Linked DNA regions of Schizosaccharomyces pombe. The main gene of each other region encodes a partner of the protein of the gene in region 3 in a complex. Each region holds a gene or a part of one and is shown on either strand. Other genes may lie near its edges.

What was found.
Region 1: tim17 (region 3) and tim21 share a complex: the UniProt entries of both Schizosaccharomyces pombe proteins name them as parts of the TIM23 complex.
Region 2: tim17 (region 3) and tim50 share a complex: the UniProt entries of both Schizosaccharomyces pombe proteins name them as parts of the TIM23 complex.

The regions. Positions count from the first base shown.
Region 1 is NC_003423.3:4,397,291-4,401,046, forward strand, and holds tim21 (TIM23 translocase complex subunit Tim21), read left to right. Parts: upstream 1-2,008; 5' UTR 2,009-2,029; coding exon 2,030-2,701; 3' UTR 2,702-3,111; downstream 3,112-3,756. Other genes in the region: uap1 (UDP-N-acetylglucosamine diphosphorylase Uap1/Qri1(predicted)), read left to right, coding at 50-1,477; adn2 (transcription factor), read right to left, coding at 3,326-3,756. UniProt on the Schizosaccharomyces pombe protein: Essential component of the TIM23 complex, a complex that mediates the translocation of transit peptide-containing proteins across the mitochondrial inner membrane. Required to keep the TOM and the TIM23 complexes in close contact.
Region 2 is NC_003423.3:1,399,243-1,403,607, forward strand, and holds tim50 (TIM23 translocase complex subunit Tim50), read right to left. Parts: upstream 2,587-4,365; 5' UTR 2,535-2,586; coding exon 1,176-2,534; 3' UTR 546-1,175; downstream 1-545. Other genes in the region: COPII-coated vesicle-associated protein Sec31, read right to left, coding at 1-266; protein aim19, read left to right, coding at 4,005-4,071, 4,113-4,127, 4,176-4,269, 4,329-4,348. UniProt on the Schizosaccharomyces pombe protein: Essential component of the TIM23 complex, a complex that mediates the translocation of transit peptide-containing proteins across the mitochondrial inner membrane.
Region 3 is NC_003424.3:1,449,311-1,453,206, forward strand, and holds tim17 (TIM23 translocase complex subunit Tim17), read right to left. Parts: upstream 2,065-3,896; 5' UTR 1,901-2,064; coding exon 1,769-1,900; intron 1,695-1,768; coding exon 1,332-1,694; 3' UTR 617-1,331; downstream 1-616. Other genes in the region: cysteine synthase-like protein Cys12, read right to left, coding at 2,647-3,834. UniProt on the Schizosaccharomyces pombe protein: Essential component of the TIM23 complex, a complex that mediates the translocation of transit peptide-containing proteins across the mitochondrial inner membrane.

The DNA.
Region 1 (3,756 bases), on a different chromosome or scaffold from region 3:
AAACATTCATTTTTTTTTTTTAGACTGTATTTATAACGCTAAATACGAAATGGACGACAAAGAATTGTTTGATCGGTCTATATTTGAAGAAACTAATCAGTTACATTTGTATGATCAATTGAATTATTTAAAAAAGAATGACCTGCAAAAGTTTAGGAAACTTTTAAATCAAGTTCAGCAATTGGACTTACGGTCATTGTGGTTGAAGTATCGAAATGCTAAAGCGACAAGCCAAGAGAACAGAAAATTGTCCCCTTCAGAAGTTGGTCCACTATCTATTGTAGATACGTCTGACTCAAGTTGGTGGAGAACAGGTCTTCGGGAAATTGCTAGAGGTCATGTAGCTGCCTTAGTATTGGCAGGAGGTCAAGGCACTCGACTTGGGTTTGCTGGTCCAAAAGGTTGCTTTAGACTTGGGCTGCCTAATAATCCGAGCATCTTTGAGCTGCAGGCACAAAAAATTAAGAAATCGTTGGCGCTCGCCAGAGCCGCATTTCCCGATCAAGAAGCCTCTATAAGCATTCCATGGTATATAATGGTTTCTGAATGTACGTCAGAGGAGACAATTTCTTTTTTTAAGGAGAATGATTTCTTTGGTATTGATAAGAAAGACGTTTTTTTCTTCCAGCAAGGAGTTTTACCTTGTCTAGATATCTCAGGTAGGGTCCTTTTTGAATCTGATTCTTCATTAGCTTGGGCTCCTAACGGCAATGGAGGTATTTATGAAGCTTTGCTTTCCTCTGGTGCATTGAATGATATGAATAGAAGAGGTATACTCCATATTACGGCTTATAGCGTTGACAATGTTCTTGTTTTGCCGGTTGATCCTGTATTCATAGGAATGGCTACTACTAAAAAACTTGAGGTTGCCACTAAAACTGTTGAAAAAATCGATCCTGCTGAAAAAGTGGGTCTCCTTGTATCTTCCCATAATCATCCTTGTGTTGTAGAGTACTCTGAAATTTCTGACGAAGCATGCAAAGCTACAGAAAATGTTGATGGTCACAAGCATTTGCTGCTTCGTGCGGCTAACATTGCATACCATTATTTCTCTTTTGATTTCTTACAGAAAGCTTCTTTGCACTCAAGTACCCTTCCTATTCACCTTGCATGCAAGAAAATTCCATTTTACGACGTAACGTCTCATCATTATACTACACCTTTAAATCCCAATGGATATAAACTTGAGAGTTTTATTTTCGATTTGTTTCCCAGTGTGTCAGTTGAAAATTTTGGATGTTTCCAGGTACCACGTAGGACTTCATTTAGTCCTCTAAAAAATTCAAGTAAATCTCCCAATGACAACCATGAAACTTGTGTAAACGATATTTTGAGTTTAGGTAAAAGCTGGATTTTAAAGAATGGTGGTATCTTAAGTCCAAGCGACTGCACCTATGTTTCCCCAGAATGTAGTTTACAAGGAGAATCACTCGAGTGGATTAAAGGGAAGCAGGTTAGCAATTGTAAACTTTACTAGTTTCCTCTCCTATATTCAACTATTTTTAAAGGTTTATATAAACAATGTAACAAAGTCAATGTGATAAATTTATTTACTTTCATTTTATATTGTACAATAATCGTCGAAGCACTAATTGCTGTTCTTAATCAGCAAATCAACATTCAGGATTTCAATTACGGTTTTACTTCGATTGTTAATATATTAATTTAATAAATTAATTGACCGTGCGTTTATTGAATTTATTAGTGACTGAAAATTTTCTAAATCATCTTCCACCTAATTCGCTTTCGTTCATTTTAAAATAACCCTGACTTTTAATATATCGTTGTTTAATCATGATGTTGCATTATTACTCCTTTCTTTTCAAGCTAAATACTCTCAAATTTTAGTATGCTTTTTACTAAATTACCTGACTAACGGAATAATGAGGTGTAACAACCATATCACTGCTAAAGCTCAAAAATTTAACGAACTACATTGCATCCTATGTCGAGCTCACTAGACATTGCCTTTATGCCGTTTAGCCTCGTCACTATATACATCTTCTTTGCATCTTTTTGTATCAACTAGATGATTCGTACTATTCAAAGGCAGAGCGCTACAAGGTTTTCTTCAGCTTTGGTTCAGAGGAGATTATACTCTTTGGCTTCTGATTCTCTCAATAAACAACGGAAACCACAAGAAGAAGGGCGCCTGGCACGAATTTTCAAAGATCCGTCTAACAAAGCTTGGAAGGATTTGACGGCTCCTCAAAAAGCATACAGAACTTCTGCTAATATTGGAAATTTTTCGATTGTGATATTTGGAGGCGGCGTTTTCGGATTGATTATATATGCACTTGTCACTAGTATCTGGAAGGGCGAGGCACATTACGGTGATGAAGCTTTTGAACTTTTAAAGGCTAATGAAGAATGTCGATATGTTTTTGGAGATCACATGAAAGCCCTAGGTGAAGCCACGCATCCTCTTCGTCGAACTCATGGTATATTGACTAGTCGTGTGTGGGATCACCATGGTGTAGAACATCTAGTACTACAATTTCACTTAATCGGTAATGAGAGAAAAGGGCACGTATTTGGAAGACTTGTAAATGTTCAAGGTGACTATAAATGGGAATATCTTTTCGTTGATGTTGCAAATTACGGAAAAATCATAATTTTTGATCATACCAATTCTGTACGACAACAACATAAGAATTTTGGTTTATGGGGAAGCTTAAAAAATATTACATGGGGAAATTAGAATTTCCGAATGATAAACGCACGACGGAAAGGTATAGCTGTTAATTTCAACCGAAAAGGAAATCATTGAATTATTTCTCGATTTTAATGGTTTGATTAATGGTTTTTCGCAGAGAATTAATTTTCTAATTTACGAATTAATTTACAGGCGATGTTAATGATTTTTATCAGAATTAGCACACTTAGTTATGCAGTATTTGGATGTATATTGCAAAAAATAAAAAAATCGTCGACACTTTATTACTAATTAAGCGATCGAACCTCATGATTTGTTGTTTAATTAGTTAGTATAAAGAAGCGAATTTGTACGAGGGGCCTTTTCGCAGGGGCTGATTAATCGCCAATCTAATGTACTACCTAAATGTGTTTAGTTATAAAAAATATAAGAATGATTCAAAGCACATGAAATAATTTTGATTATTAGATATAAAGTACAAGATGTAGGCCGGTATTTATAACCGAGTACACTAATCCATATCCAACTAGCAATTAATTATATATTAAATTTTTATAATGACAAAACGCAACGCATTCAAAAAAGATGAAAAAATCTGGTATATAATTTCCAAATAAACAAATTAAAAAAGAAGAAAAACAAGGATAAAATACTTAAGTTTCGACAAAATTAAGCAGCAGTCGAGTCTTCATTATCCGGCAAATTAAACAATCCAAACCATAAATCGTCACCAGTACTAGTATCTTTTAAAAATTTGTCGAAGTCAAAATCATTTAGAAGAGCCGCATCGATGTCTGTTGAATTTCCAACATCCAATAATTGATTGTCTGAAGATTTAGTGGCAACTGTGGTAGACTCCGTAGGTGCAGAAGGAGTCGCGGAAGTATCAGGATTTGATTTTCCTGACTGATTTTGATTATCCAACTCAGAATCGGATTTGTGAACATTTGCTCCTTGCGATGGTTCCAAAGCAGGACCTACACTTGTTGCTTCATTTGTTGATGATTCGGGGTTGGTAGTGTTGACGGTCGGTGCTGGAGTTGGAGCATTTGAATTAGCAGAAGAAGGCTTTTGTTTTGATCGAACGTCCAATGGAGAAC
Region 2 (4,365 bases), on a different chromosome or scaffold from region 3:
CCATCTTCTAAACTACCAGCGATTACACCCATGGGCTTATCTAACGATTTCTCCCATGCTAAATCGTAAAATCTAGTCTTCACGTCGATAGATCCAACGGGTTTTTGTGATTCAGGATTTTCATTCCACAATTCAAGCAAGGTGTCGCTGTTTTTAGAACCCTCCGTCCCGGTATATCCTCCTAACGCTAACAGAGCTTGGTTATCATTCACCCCGCGGGGCGACCACGCCAACGTAGCCGTTTTGCTTATATCCTTCAGTCTCATAACTCACACCAACTTGTGAAATATTGTAAAAACTCCTTTTTATCCTGTTTCAACTATAGTATAACAGGCGAGCTAACCCGTTTTTTGTTTGGTATGATGTGTGGGCTCTTAAAGTGGTTGGTTCTTAGTAGTTTCTTTTAATACATATAGTCCACATGTGGTAGTAGTAGGCTAAAGGGTAGCATAGGTAACAAAGGATAATACACATAGTGCAGTACATAAAGCTTTCTTTGGAACTCAGTGGTAAATTCTCACTAAAAGTAAAAAAAAAATAGATGGACAATATTATTATTATTACGAAAATGAAGGAAACCCTTGATTGATGCTTATATACAAGAATTCATAGATACCCTGTTTTGGTGGAAATTTACATAGTCAGTCAAATTTTTAAATAGGATGACCCAAGAAGGTAAACACTTTAAGTGCGCAGTATAAAGGAACAAAAACTCGGAAGACCAGCGTATTCCCAGCATGGTCCGTACACAAAAAAAACCAGTAAGGAAAAAATTAAAAGAATACTTTTTTGTAGGTTGAATTGAATATAAGAAGTAAATTTTGAATAAGATTTCGAATTTGCACCAATACCCTTGGAAACGTAGGAGAAATGAATTAGAAAGAACGGAGCTTGGGTGGAGAAAAGGAATCCAAAGTACCAAAGCAAAATTGTCGTCCTGTAAAAGAAGTATTAAGACATGGGCATGAGACAAAACGAAGCCAAAATAAGCAGAATGATACGACTTGAAAGTTGTTACATTTTCTCATAAATTAGAGAACAAAATAAAGCGGAATACCGCATTGTGTCAGTCAGCAACAAGCACAAGGGACGTATTATTGTTTAATTTTTCCTTTTTCTTATTTCATTTGAATGTTCTTCAGGAAGGAAACGCTGACACGGGTTTCATCGAAAGCCTATTTGGAAGCATTTGTTTCGGGTGAAAATTGTTGTTGCTGCATTTGTTCTAACTGTTGTTGCTGAACCTCTTCTGGATGGAAGAGAAGATTAAAGATGCTTGTTTTTTGTTCAGCCTCTCGAGCCTTTTCTTCTTCAAGCATTTTAGGTCCATTTTCGTCAATATACTTTTTAAATTCAGCATAAGCAGCCTTTTGTCGCTCACGCTGTATATCAATGATTAATTTGGGTGGCTCTTCAGATACACTCCGTCCTCCAAACAAAAAGGAACTGCCTTTCTTCTTCTTCTCATTCCAATCTTCAATTAACTTGGTGCGTAGTTTTTCCTCTCTGCGGGCATACTCAAGGGGAATGTTTTTACCTTGATAACTTTTAAGAACTGGACGAACGTCTTTAATATCCATGATAGCAATAAACTCCAAAAGAGGAATTAATCCGACCAATTCCTTATCCTTAGGATTTCCTGTCCATGGAGCCATGGCAATTGCGTTATCAGGCTGTTTGGACCATGACTCGGGATTCGTATCGATCATGATCACTCGAGACAGGTCACGATTCAAGTAAGATAAATCTTTGATAACCTTACCCTTCTCATATTTGCTTGACTCGCGAGTAAGTACGGCACTAATACTTACGTGGTATGGATCAATCTTATCGATGATAGGCTTGGCAGTTGCTAAATACTGTCTAGTAAAGATGACTACTTCGTAGTACATGGAGAGATAGCCCAAGAAGTAATCTAAACCAGGACGCTTTGCAGTTCTCCAACCATGTTGACGAGTCCATTCGCTATGAATCAAAAGATCATCCAAACTTAAGACCAAGGTATAAGGTCGATTATAAGGTTCAGGAAGAGGATCAGGGAGCAACTTTTCAAATGCAGGCTCCTGATAGTAAGAGAAGAAGTTATTTGTACGGGCCTTTACCCTATTCCACCAATCTGAAGGGGAATAACCAGCAGCGGGATACTGCTTTTCTAGTTCTTTCTCATCAGGACCATAGCGACGACCGTAGTAAAGTAAACCACCTCCCGTTAATCCCAAGAAACCCCAAAATGCATAACGAGCCTGCTTTTCTCGCTTTAGCATCGTTGAACTAGTATACTCGGGTCCTTTTCCAGGGTCTCCAGTGTAGGACTCATCATTCAAACCATTTAAATCAAGTAATTTTAATGACTCTTTCGCAAGTGAAGAAGTGTCCCGTTTAACTTCTTCTTTTGCGTTTTCGGTGATTTTTGATGTGTCCTTTTCCTCTTGCGACTGGCTTTTCTCAGTCACAAACCGTTTGCCAACAAGGGGCAAAAAAGGACGAGGTCTAGCAAGCCTCAAATTACGAAAAAGAAGAGACCTGTTCAACATTTTGAATGTTGTTGTCTTTTTTATCTTTGTACGGCAATTTGTTGTTGTTTGCGTAGTGTCAGTCCATTAAGAAACCATGTATTTTCAGTGCACTGAGATATCAAACTGTAAGGTATCTCGTAAAACCTCCTTTATTTTTATGCATCTATTAGCAGGAGAATAATAAGACGGACAGTATGACTCGATAGGTTTGACAAATAAATCGAGAAAAGTATCATAAAAAAGGGAAAAGAAATGGAAAAAGGAACAGAGTTTTTGTCCTATGCTAAAAGAATGCTTGTGGATTATTATACTAACGAGGGTGGTAATGCACGGTAAGAAGGTTCATGTTTCCAGCCAAAATTTATTAGATTTATAAAATAATTTACCAGATAATTTTTAAAGAGTTAATTCCGGAATAATTTAATTTAGACAATGGGCGAAACAAGCCAGTTGTCTTTTCTCTTGCAAAAAACATCACTTACTATACGAATCCACTTTGCAAATATTTTGTAATATTGCATTCTGTATTTTCGAAGGATCACAGCAATAACTCGAGATCATATATTATTCTATCATTATAAATGAAAAAAAGAGAATTGGCGCAAAATTAAGAATTCAAGATGTTGTTTTGTTTACAAATTAACGCGCTATTGCGAGTCATCAAACAAATTTGTAAAAAATATATTGCGGCCAGAGAGGTTCGAACTCTCGCGTTTTACAACAGCAGGGATCAAGGCCGAGGCCTCTTAAATCTGCCCCCTTAGACCACTCGGGCATAGCCGCTAGAGATGGTAGATATTAAAATTTGAAATATATATCTATTTCAAACAGTTTGAAAAATTGACATCTTTTGTGAAGTTTACGCTTCATCAGGTAAATTCAAGGTAATTAAAGATTTTTATACAGCCTTGTGATTTTACTTCAGCTACACTTTAGCTTTCGAATCAGTGGCCTTCGGAAATATGAAAAGTCGTTAGCGTAACAAGTCGTAGCCTTCAAATCAAATTTCCTAGTTTGCTTTTGTTTAAAGGATGATTTTCTAATTTAATGTCAATGTCTGCACATTTATTGATTTTCGGTATAAATCTGACTGGATAGTTGACTCGAGATATCTAACTTAATACGTTCATAACATGCAAGTCCATCCTTGCAATATTGAACCAGAAGTATGATCCGTTAAAGATAAAGACCTATTATCATTAATATATTTATTGTGAACGTGAAATATACCATAAGTACATTCCTCCAATCCTAGCAAGTGTTCCTGTTACAAATGAAAAAGCCACAAATCAATGCAATTTAAGTTGATAGATTTTTAGACATAAATTTATAGAAAATATTATGTTATTTAAAATAAAAAGCAAAAGATACAAATTACTGCTGCCCAGGTTTATTTCTCATCGTCTAAGACATTACGCAAGTGCAACTCAGTCTCTCCCATCTCACCTTTGTCTCTTGTAAACTTAATCTTCCTTGTAAGAACTCATAATGGAAAATAAAGAACTCAGAAAATCATACTTCCAAAGGATATATCAAAGCTATATCCCTGCTTATGGTATGTGAATCAACTTCACAACGTGAACTAACTAAATTTAGCCTTTGGTGGTGCTTGTATGCGAAATTAATTAATTCAGTATTTAGCTAATTTCTATAAAACAGTAATTGCTTCTGTACCTAGAGCATTTAAACGACCCTATGGCGGTCCTTTCGTTCCTGGTTGTCTTTTGTGTGGTGGATTCAATGCTATAGGAGGGTATTTACAAATATACTTATTTCTTTTGTACTGTTCTATTTTACTAATTACTTTTTCAGTCTTGCAATTGCTAGTGGTGGTAAGTGATTTTGGTGA
Region 3 (3,896 bases):
AAATATACATAAAATGAATAACTCAATACCTAGGCTAGCAATAGTATTTGATTCCTTCAAAATAGGCAAATAGCAAAAAGCAAAAATGGGCTGTTGTGGGAATCGAACCCACGACCACCATCACCCTAAGATGGTATCATACCACTAGACCAAACGGCCACTTTAATTATAATAATTTTTAAACTTATACAATGAAATTAAAAATAATATGAGTAATATGATGGTATTTCTATAGTTTTAGTAATTTTGTGGGATATTTGGAGGTCTTTTCATAACTTAATTTAATGGGACTAAAGTATTTCATTAATGATCTAATTTATGCTTATTAAGTAAGGAGTTTGTTTACTCCCTTAATTTAGCGTTAGTAAACAAGAATACAAGTTTCTGTAATTTAAGAGTATGAATTTCAATTGCAATCATAATACCATCTCATACATATGGAAGTTATTCTCATTTACAGTTTACTTGCAGGGTACTGCAACTACGTGTAAGTAAATTGCATAGTGCTTGTTTCGATAATGGAAAATATATTTTTGAGCTACTGCTAGCTTCTGAGTACTATTGTCTTCTATGCTAATTTAAGCAATTTTGTCTAATTGAATTTGTTCTAAATAAAGCGAAAAAACAATATAGTTAGAAAAAGCACATTCTTTAGAAGCCTATCGAAACTCTTACATTTTAATTTACAAGCTTTGGTGCATTGAGCAATATTAGGCAGTCGATTAATTGATCTATTTCATCAAGCAGTCTAATAAAAAGCAAACACGATGCCGATTCAAAGAATTGCAGTAACGGTTTGAGTCAGTGGAGTATCAGATTCTAGGATACGAGAAAACGCAGAAAGGTATTCTTTTATTGTATTTGCATGGATTGTAAACTACTGGTAATAACGTTACAAAACCAAATCATTACTTTAACAAAGAAAAAGAAATAACGATCAGCCTACGAGATTAAAGCCCTAAAATGAACAAATTCACAACCCTTAAGCGTATTAATGGAAGTTCATGAAAAAATTGAACAGGATACGTATGCTGTCAAAAACTATTTCCAAAAAATGATTTATGTAAAAAAGATGGAGATTAGATTCAGTAAGTTCCGGAAAAGGCTTAAATGTCGAAATTTCAATAATCCGCCAAGTTTATATAGAGCTAACTTAGTATAAAGGAACCGGAAAACGAAAGATATTTTCAAAAAAATTGGAAAACAAGGAAATAGTGAATATGACAGATGACAAGGAATTTTTGGATACAATACGTTGATTGTAAGCATTAAAAATTATTAATACTTCGTTTTATCGCACAATTAAAATAATTTACAAGTACCAATCATTTTTAAACTGCAGCAGGAGCTGCAGAAGTGGAACCGGAAGCCGGGGCATCAGGTATAACTGGAGCGACAGGACGATTATATTCCGCATTCATACGGCCCAAAGCAATACCCAAACCCTCAAAAACAGCCAGAATACAAGCGCATCCAATTGCACCGTTACGAGTAGCCCTCCAACCGCCACGAACTGCTAAAGCACCACCGGTAAAAAAGCCTGCAATAATAGCGTTCCATGGGTCTTCTTTGCGACGAACACCTTTGACGGCACAATCAAATGTACTAAACAAACCACCCCAAACACCAAAGTTACCTCCCAAAACGGGAGCTCTAGTTTTAGCAGCTGCAATAGCAGAAATTCGTTTTTCTCCCTAATTAATAATTTCATTAGCAAATGCCTTCATTCTATTGCGCATTCAACTTTGCACTACTTGATTTAACTTACCGGTGGACTGTTCCTCCATCCTTTGATGGAATGCCAAATGGCACCACCTATAGTACCCATGGAAAAAGCAGCACCGAAATCATTCAAAATCACATAAGGACAAGGATCCCTGGTATGATCCGCGCTAGCCATTTTTTTCTATTTTCTGAAATGTTTCGATCCCTTGTGTTATCCAAACTCTCCGTATTTAATCAAAAAGCAAATAACCTTTCTAATTAATCGTAAAAAATGCTAGTTTACAGCCAGGTCGTCGTCTACTGACTGCACGTCAAATTTCGCAGGTTTGAACTAGGTTTACTCTTGCAGGCAACTCTATTACTCCCTCTTACTCCCTGTTTAACGAGTGCTGACGATTCCGCAAACAGAATTCAGCATCGTAAAGCGGAGCTTACAATACATAGCGTAGCTCAACGTAATACAAATTGTCATTTGAAAATTGAATAGTTCAGCTTAGCGGACAGTTGGATGAAGCTTGTTTTCTGTGCTATATAAATTGTGAAATTTAAAACAAATTTATGAAGGCATTTTAGTTGTCCACATGTTTCTTTCTGAAAGTGTAACAATACCTTTACAACTACGAAAACAATTGAAAAGTATGTGCTATATGATATTTTCGATATTAGACAGAGCGATTTATTATGCTTTAAAAGTCGATATACTAAGAAATTTCAGTTTTTTTGGTAATTGGGGATAATCAAATTTTTTTTTTTTTTAATAGCAAAAAGTATTTGTTCAACTACGAATGAAAATAAATTCTACTAACATTAGGAAAACAAACATAATATTAGGGCATACATTCACGTTAACACAAACAAAGAAAACAGAACTATCGATTAAATTAAAAAAACGTAGTTTATCGAAACTACCAGAGGAACAACCTAAGCTTCAACAAAATCTAAGGAAGAAGGAACTTGTGGAACAATGTTTTTTTTTCGCAAGAACTCTTCGTTATACAGTTTTGAAAAATGGCGAGATCCAGGATCGCAAAGAAGAGTAACAATTCGATGACCAGGGCCCAACTTTTTAGCAAGACGGACAGCAGCGACGCAATTAACAGCAGAAGAACTGCCGACAAATAAACCATCATGGGTGACTAAGTATCGAGACATAGCTACGGCCTGCTCATCAGTTACTCTGTAAGCCATATCAATAAGGGGTTCAGCGATAGAAAAGTTGCGTGTCATTCGATTAATACCCACTCCTTCAACGATGGTATCAACCTGATGTCGCCGACGAGTTCCTTCTCGTTCAGCCAAATCAAACATCACACCGTGAAGAACTTTATGATATAGGCCACTTCCGGGAGGATCAGCAAGACAGACGGTGATGGAAGGATCTTTGGACTTTAGGTAGCGAGAAATACCAGCGATAGTGCCACCCGTACCAGAACCGGCAATAAATGCATCTAATTTTCCAGCACATTGACGCCATATTTCAGGACCGGTAGAATTGAAATGAGCTTGCCAATTCGCCGGATTCTCAAATTGATTAGCAAAGTATCCTTTGCCAGGAATGGACTCGTCGACGGTATGATTGGCAGCATTACGACGAGCCGTATTTACAAAATGATTTGGATCGACGATGGGAGCTGGAGTTACTCTTTGAACATGAGCACCCAACAATTCAAGTATGTCACTTTTTTCTTTAGATTGGTCACTAGGCATATATATACGAGAGTCATAGCCAAGTGAACAACAGAGCATAGCTATCGAAATACCAGTAGAACCGGCGGTTCCTTCATAAACAGCATTCGATTGATAAGGTACTAAATCTCCATTTTCTTCTGCTGTGCGAATCATCTGCAAAGCAACACGATCTTTAGGAGAATTTCCAGGGTTCAGAAATTCCGCTTTGGCGAGGATATCGCAGCCCGTCGCTTGCGAAAGAGATTTTATCCTGACCATTTTAGTATTTCCAATTAGTCCTTCTACTCCATTTACGATGTCTTCTTCCAACGAATCGGCTGACGATTTGACGCGAAGAGACTCGTACAAACGACGTAAAAGGTACATGAAAACTGCACCCATGGCGATTCCACTAGCTAGATCCTGATATTTTTTCGCCATTACATAAATCCTCTCGGTTTTATAATGTCAAACGTTTATATTTACACAAACTGGGTGTACTC